Callithrix jacchus: one gene and its partner. The protein of the gene in region 1 binds, or shares a complex with, the protein of each later gene. Links are inferred from orthologs where the notes say so. Each region holds a gene or a part of one and is shown on either strand. Other genes may lie near its edges.

Evidence for each region. The genes of interacting proteins can lie anywhere in the genome.
Region 2: the proteins of KIF13B (region 1) and ADAP1 are in contact, whole or in part, in a crystal structure (PDB 3MDB), measured with the Homo sapiens proteins. The link is inferred for Callithrix jacchus from reciprocal best matches to the Homo sapiens genes KIF13B and ADAP1. Residues at the interface, in NP_056069.2 of Homo sapiens: Val451, Asn452, Leu453, Asn454, Ala455, Asp456, Pro457, Leu463, Arg512, Phe514, Asn516, Gly517, Arg531, Leu533, Asn536, Asn537, Phe539; in NP_006860.2 of Homo sapiens: Trp137, Asn143, Gly144, Gln145, Phe146, Leu147, Pro186, Ala187, Lys188, Ile189, Gly190, His191, Pro192, His193, Tyr211, Glu213.

The regions. Positions count from the first base shown.
Region 1 is NC_133514.1:12,564,456-12,568,020, forward strand, and holds part of KIF13B (kinesin-like protein KIF13B), read left to right. Parts: intron 1-940; coding exon 941-1,111; intron 1,112-2,686; coding exon 2,687-2,844; intron 2,845-3,565. UniProt on the Homo sapiens protein: Involved in reorganization of the cortical cytoskeleton. Regulates axon formation by promoting the formation of extra axons. May be functionally important for the intracellular trafficking of MAGUKs and associated protein complexes.
Region 2 is NC_133503.1:58,078,417-58,081,981, forward strand, and holds part of ADAP1 (arf-GAP with dual PH domain-containing protein 1), read left to right. Parts: intron 1-1,998; coding exon 1,999-2,129; intron 2,130-3,565. UniProt on the Homo sapiens protein: GTPase-activating protein for the ADP ribosylation factor family. Binds phosphatidylinositol 3,4,5-trisphosphate (PtdInsP3) and inositol 1,3,4,5-tetrakisphosphate (InsP4). Regulates the incorporation of CD63 and CD9 into multivesicular bodies.

The DNA of each region.
Region 1 (3,565 bases):
CATAAGGAAGTCTTTCTGTAAACATTGGCCCAGAAAATCGTCAGTGTTTACCATCTTCACTTCTTTTCCTTCTCCCCCCAGATCTTTATACATTTCTGATGCTTTTAAGTTCTCCCAAACAATGCTGTAGTAGCGTGTAACACTTTCAGTTGAGAACCTTGTTTCCTTTTTTTTTTTGTCTCACTCTGTCGCCCAGGCTGGAGTGCAATGGCATCTTGGCTCGCTGCAACCTCTGCCTCCCGGGTTCAAGTGATTCTTCTGCCTCAGCCTCCTGAGTAGCTAGAAATACAGGTGTACACCACTACCCCTGGCTACTTTTTGTATTTTTAGTAGAGATGGGGTTTCTCTATGTTGGCCAGGTTGGTCTCAAACTCCTGATCTCATGATCTACCCGCCTTGGCCTCCCAAAGTGCTGGGATTACAGGCGTGAGCCACCATACCCCGCCTACCTTGTTCCTTTTTATACTTTAAAACATCAAATCTATGTTTCGCTCTTTCCTTGATATTTGTTGTTTCTTGGCATGTACACTGATTTTGTTCTGCATTCACTGTACTTGACAGTCTTGTTCTGTTCTGTGGCATATCCATGATTAGCCAAGTTCATATCCTTGCAGAGTGCTGATGTTTGACATCTGTCTTTGAATTGATGATGATGATGATGATGATTATATTCAGAGCAACTGACATTTAAATGTTCTTATGCTTCACAACGTCCACCTCTGTAGTCAGGGTCCTTGTAACCCCGTGTCCAGCTCTCGCTAAATACAGTAATTGCTACCACAGTTTTCCAGATGCAGAAGTCGAATCTCAGGTTGAACGGGATTTGGCTATCATAAGTCCTAAGTTAGTGACAGAGCTGGAACTGGAACCTGCACCTGTGACTCCGAGTGCTTGTTGCAACTCTCGGATTTCAAAACACACAGCCTTCTTTTTCCTTCAGGTTAAAATCCTCCAAGCTACTGGGTTGCCACAGCATCTGTCCCACTTTGTGTTCTGCAAATACAGCTTCTGGGATCAACAGGAGCCGGTGATTGTCGCTCCTGAAGTGGACACCTCCTCCTCTCCCGTCAGCAAGGAGCCGCACTGCATGGTTGTCTTTGATCACTGCAATGTGAGTTTGTTTTCCAGAGTAGGTCAGCATTTAGATCACTCATGTAAAAACAAAGCAGAAAATGAACCTTATTTCTTTGAATAATTGTGCCAAGATATCTTGGAGCAGTTTCTGTGCAATGTGGGGATTGAGCAAAAAGTGTCAATGCATCTGTACTCCTCCACAACCCAAAGGTCACTTTTGCATGAGAAACAAATACCTATGTATGTATATGTGCATTTTCTTCTCTAAAGAAAATCTATGCCCTGTATTAGATTACTGGAGAAATTATCTAAAACCATTAAGAAACTTTTGTTTTAGAGAAAGCAAACATAGGTAGCAGAGAAGAGCTAACTGTTGAGCACCAAATGCTCTGTGAAGCTGTTACTTCTTCATTTGATGCTCACCACAGGTGTATTTGATGATAGTGCATTTGTTGTTGTTGTTGTTTTGTTTTGTTTTTTTGTTTTGAGACAGAGTCTTAGTCTATCACCCAGGCTGGAGTGCAGTGGCACGATGTCGGCTCACTGAAACCTCTGCCTCCCAGGTTGAAGCAATTCTCCTGCCTCAGCCTCCCAAGTAGCTGGGATTACAGATGCCTCCCACCACACCTGGCTACTTTTTTTTTTGGTATTTTTAGTGGAGATGGGGTTTTACCATGTTGGTCAGAATGGTTTTGAACTCCTGACCTCCAGTGATCTGCCCACCTTGTCCTCCCAAAGTGCTGAGATTACAGGCATGAGCTACCATGCCTAGCCAGTAGTGCACTTTTTTTTTCCAGCTGAAAACACAAACAGTTCAGAGAGGTCAGTTTGCCCAAAATAGTTGCTCGTCGGTTTGTCCGTGGCTGGTGACCAGCTGAATGTGGACTGTTGGGTCCCCAAGTCTTTGTTGCTCCTGCACCACATTTGATCCAGCTCATCTCTTTCGAGAGAAAGGTCTCTTTCTAATCCATTTAAAACAAATACTTCAGTACATTAAAGATGGAGAGAGAGAGAGGAGACACCAGCAGAGATAGGAGATTCTGTGGTTTCTGTAATAAACTGTCTTAGAGCTCATTCCTAATTGCAAAATGCTATCTTATAAAAATGGACGGGCTGGGAGAATTTTTACATATCAGGTCTTTTTTTTTTTTTTTTTTTTTTTTTTTTTTTTGGTGCTAACGATTATTTCCCTTACCTCCTAATAGAGATAGGTAGCTTTCTAAAAAGTGGGAAAAACAGTTTTGAACACACTACCTTATTGCATATAATAACTTTTATATCAACACATTATAGACCAGTGTTGTAACACTTTGTACAATTAGGCTTTTAAAAATAACTCTCAGAATGCTGCTAACAAAACAATACAATGCTGATCTTACATACTAGACTTCTGAGGTGAAAAGTTTTAAAAAATTTAGATTTATAGTTATGTTTAAAGTCAAGAACCTTAGGCCGTCTGAGCATTCATTATGCGTCTTAGCTGACAGTTCCGTATAACTAAAACATTCCTTTTTCTATTTTTTTTCTTATGTAATTAAGTATGTGATGTCTGGTATCAATCCTAAGGTTACCAGAAGGAGTTGCCTCTTTGTGATCAGCTATTGTGTTTCAGGAGTTTTCTGTTAACATCACTGAAGACTTTATCGAGCATCTTTCTGAAGGAGCATTGGCAATTGAAGTATATGGACATAAAATGAACGATCCTCGGAAAAACCCAGCCCTGTGGGATTTGGGAATCATCCAAGCAAAGACACGTAGTCTTCGGGACAGGTGAATGTTAGATGTTCATCTGATTCCATTTATATATGTGTAATTTTTTTTTTTTTTTGAGACAGTCTCATTCCCTTTGTCACCCAGGCTAGAGTACAGTGGCATGATCTTGGCTTGCTGCAACTCCGGCCTCCCAGGAGTAAACAATTCTCTTGCCTAAGCCTTCCGAGTAGCTGGGATTATAGGCATGCACACCACACCTGGCTAATTTTTATATTTTTAGTGGAGCTGGGGTTTCACCATGTTGGCCACACTGGTCTCAAACTCCTGACCTAAAGTGATCCGCCAACCTCAGCCTCCCAAAGTGCTGGGATTGCAGGCATGAGCCACCATGCCTGGCCAGATTCCATTTATAATTTTTAAAGACTGCTAGAAATTAGTACTGCCATTTATGAAGGTTACTCTTTCCTGAGCATGACCAGGGTTCCCTGGAGGGATGGTAGTGTCTCCAGGGTGTTAATCACGCAGGGAAGCAAACTTCACAGAATGATGGAAGAAAGTTCAATTTGTAGCTGGTTAAAAAGAAACAGTGAAATTAATTTTGGAGAATAGTGACTTACCATTCTGAATTACTTCTAATTAATCAGGTGTAGAGAGGATGGATCAAGATTCACTCTAGAGTTCACACTTTCTTTGTCTTTAGCTCATGGTTCTGAGTGGCTTCGTTGTTGGAAAGAGGTAGGTTTCTTTGCGGACTTAAAAGGAAGCATTAAAAGGGAAT
Region 2 (3,565 bases), on another chromosome or scaffold:
AGCCTGTGGTCTCTCTTGGACACAGTGGCTCTGTTGAACTAGGGCTATTGGTGGCTCCTTCATTCACGACTCCTGTGGAGACCTGCTCTGTACTGAGCTCCGTGTCAGATCTGGGGATGCTGGGTCTTGGGTCCTCAGGCAGCCCATGTTAATGGAGAGACGGACTTCGTTAATCAGGGAGCCCAATTAATGAAGTCTGTCTCTCCATTGATGTCTGTGACAGGCAACCCCCAAATCCCAGGGGCCCCACGTGTTGGTTCGCATGTACAACATGATCTCCAGCGGGGCTGGCTTGGGTGCCTCTCCTCCTGGCAGTGACTCAGGGTCCAGACCCGGCCCCACTGGGCCTCCACTTCCCTGCACTGGAGTCCCCCCACCAGTCAAGGGTGGGCCCCAAGCAGTGTGAGGAGGGGGTCTATACTCAGCCAGGCCTGGAGGGCGGGGTCCTCTCCACTCATGATTCCCCAGACAGGCTTCCTTCCGCCTCGGCACCTGCCTGTCGGGAAGTACCTCGATTACCATCAGCCTCACCCAGGAGAGCCTCCACTTAAAAATAAAAGCATTTCGGAGCTGACACATCTCCCCCAGAGAGACTGTTCTCTCTAGGGCTCTCTTCAGCCGTTATTGTGATGGTCGTTTGGAGCAGGAAGAAAACAGGAGAGTCACACCGCAGCCCAGCTGCACCTTCCCTATGGCTCACTTTGCCATTTCAGAATGAGACATTTCACATGTGCAGAAGAAGACTGTGCTGTGGCACCCATACCCCACATGGTGGCTCATGCCTATAATCCCAGCACTCTGGGAGGCCGAGGCAGCCAGCTTGGCCAACATAGTGAAACCCCATCTCTACTAAAAATACAAAAATTAGCCATGTGTGGTGGTACGTGCCTCACTACTCAGGAGGCTGTAGCAGGAGAATCACTTGAATCCAAGAGGCAGAGGTTGCAGTGAGCCGAGATTGTGCCATTGCACTCCAGTCTGGGTGACAGAGACTCTGTCTCAAAAAAAAAAAAAAAAAAGAAAAAGATTCTGCTGCCTCAGCCTCCCAAAGCCCTGGGATTACAGGCACGAGCCACAATTCCCAGCTTTGTTGAAGCTTTGTGTGTGTGTGTGTGTGAGACAGAGTCTCACTCTGTTGCCCAGGCTGGAGTGCAATGGCGCGATCTCGGCTCACTGCAACCTCTGCCCCATGGGTTGAAGTGATTCTCCTGCCTCAGCCTCCCGAGTAGCTGGGATTACAGGCATGCACACTGCGTCTGACTAATTTTTATATTTTTAGTAGAGATGGGATTTCCCCACATTGGTCAGGTTGATCTGGAACTCCTGACCTCATGATCTGTCCGCCTCAGCCTCGAAAAGCACTGGGATTACAGGTGTGAGCCACAGTGCCCAGCTTTATTGACCCTTTTAAGGCAAATTAGACATGGAGATGTGGAATCCCTAGACAGGCTGAATTTGTGGCAGGGTGAAGCCAGAGGGCCTTTGTCATACCTGCCAAGTTAGTGCTGGCTGGGCGCTGTCACCAACGCACGGTGCATCTTGAGCGCTTCTGCGGCTATGGTCTGTTCGGGGACAGGCACCGCGTTGGATGGAGGCCTCCCTTGCACTCAGATCCTATCTGAGTTTTCCAATCTTGGCTCTGTCTCCCAGGGCAGCAGACACCGGGAAAGCACGTGGGCCACGTCCTCACAAGCGCTGGGTGGCTCCTGTTGGGCCAGCCTCTGCTGGAGGTTCCTGGCACCCCGTGCAGAGCCTGTGCAGATCAGCTTCCTCAGATGTCAAGGGGTGTTTTGGGAGAGCTCTGCCTGCAACTGGGTGGGGTCGGGGTTCAGGTGATGATGGGGTAAGGTGTCTGCACAGAGCCAGCTGTACCTGGGGGTCTCCTCTAAAGCCTCCCACGGCATGCTGGGGGCTCCTGACCCTGACCCCAGGCTCCGCCCACCCTCCCTCCGGGGCCCCTGGGCTGAGCCACTATGAATGCCCGGCTTTTCCTTGCAGATCCTGACTGGGCCTCCTACACTCTGGGAGTGTTCATCTGCCTGAGCTGCTCGGGAATCCACCGGAACATCCCCCAGGTCAGCAAGGTCAAGTCCATCCGCCTGGATGCCTGGGATGAGGCCCAAGTGGAGGTACGGTGGGGGTGGGGGGAGGGAGGAAGGGAGGCCCCCACCCCACGCAGTCTTGCACCACACTCTGGGTGGCCCCAGCTCTGGCCTTTTGAGGCACAGGCGCCAGGCGGTCTGGCTGTGGCTCCCTGGGGCCTTGAGCTGCTCTGAGGGGCCGGCTGACTGGCCCCGAGGCTGCGGAGGCCAGAGCAGCTGCAGGACCGGACCCCAACCCCTCTCCCACGGCTCCTCCTGTGTGCTGCTCCTCTCACCCCGTGCTGGGTCCACCCCTCTGTGGGCAGCTCCAGGTGTGTGTGGTGGGCCTGGGAGTGAAGGCCAAAGCTTATTCCCATGGCCTGAAGCTCCTGAGCGCTCCCCTCAAATCCTCACACCTGGACAGAGTGAGACACTGTCTCTTTAAAAAAAAAAGAAAGAAGGAAAAAGAAAACAGAATGCATCGCCCCAGACCCATTCGGCCCCACCTCGACCCCAAGTCGCATTTCCCGGTAGTCCCTGTGTACCCCGGCCTGCTGCCGCTTACGGCCGGTCCCCTGGGCAGCCTCTGAGGTGACACAGCCACCGCCCACCTCTCAGCCATGCATCTGATAAAGTTGCTGAAGCTCCTGTCATGGCCAGGCAGGGACACCAGCCACAGATGCCTCTTGGGGCCCTAGAGACACCCCTCTGGGGAGGGAGATGGTGTGAGCAACCAAGAACCTGGTGGTGCAGGGGGAGCCATGTAGGCTGGGGGTGGCAGGAAGGGCCCCAAAGGGAGACCCCAAGGGAATTGGAGAAGGAATGAGGCCCCAGTGAGGGTGGATGGGCTGCAGCTGGGATGGAGTGTGGGGCCTGAAGACCCGGGTGGGAGGTTTGCTCCAGCTCTGCTCATGAGGCTTTAGGTCTCAGAGTCACAGATCTACCTGGCTGCTGGTGAGAGGGACAGAGGGGCCGCGTGGACATGAGAGCAGTGGTCTGGGGGCTGCTGTGGGGACGGGGTGGGTCATAGAGGCTGGTCGCCCCTGTGCACGTCTTCCCAGCTCTTCAACACCACTGACCGCTGCTCCCAGCCCCAGCTCTCCAGGACCACTGACCCTGGTCCCTGCTCTCCAGGGCCACTGACCTCAGCCCCTGGCTCTCCAGCACCACTGGCCCCGGCCCCCTCTCTCCAGCACCACTGACCCTGACCCCTGCTCCAGCACCACTGACCCCAGCCCTTCCAACACCACTGACCCGGCCCCCCTCTCCAGCACCAGTGACCTCGGACCCTCTCTCCAGCACCACTGACCCCGGCCCCCCTCTCCAGCACCACTGACCCCGGCCCCCCATCTCCAGCATCACTGACTCCGGCCCCCCCTCTCCAGCACCACTGACCTCGGACCCCCTCTCCAGCAGCACTGACCCCAGACCCCGCTGGCAGCAGCTCGTTTGCTTCTAACAGGCAGCCTTGGTGCATGGGCTAC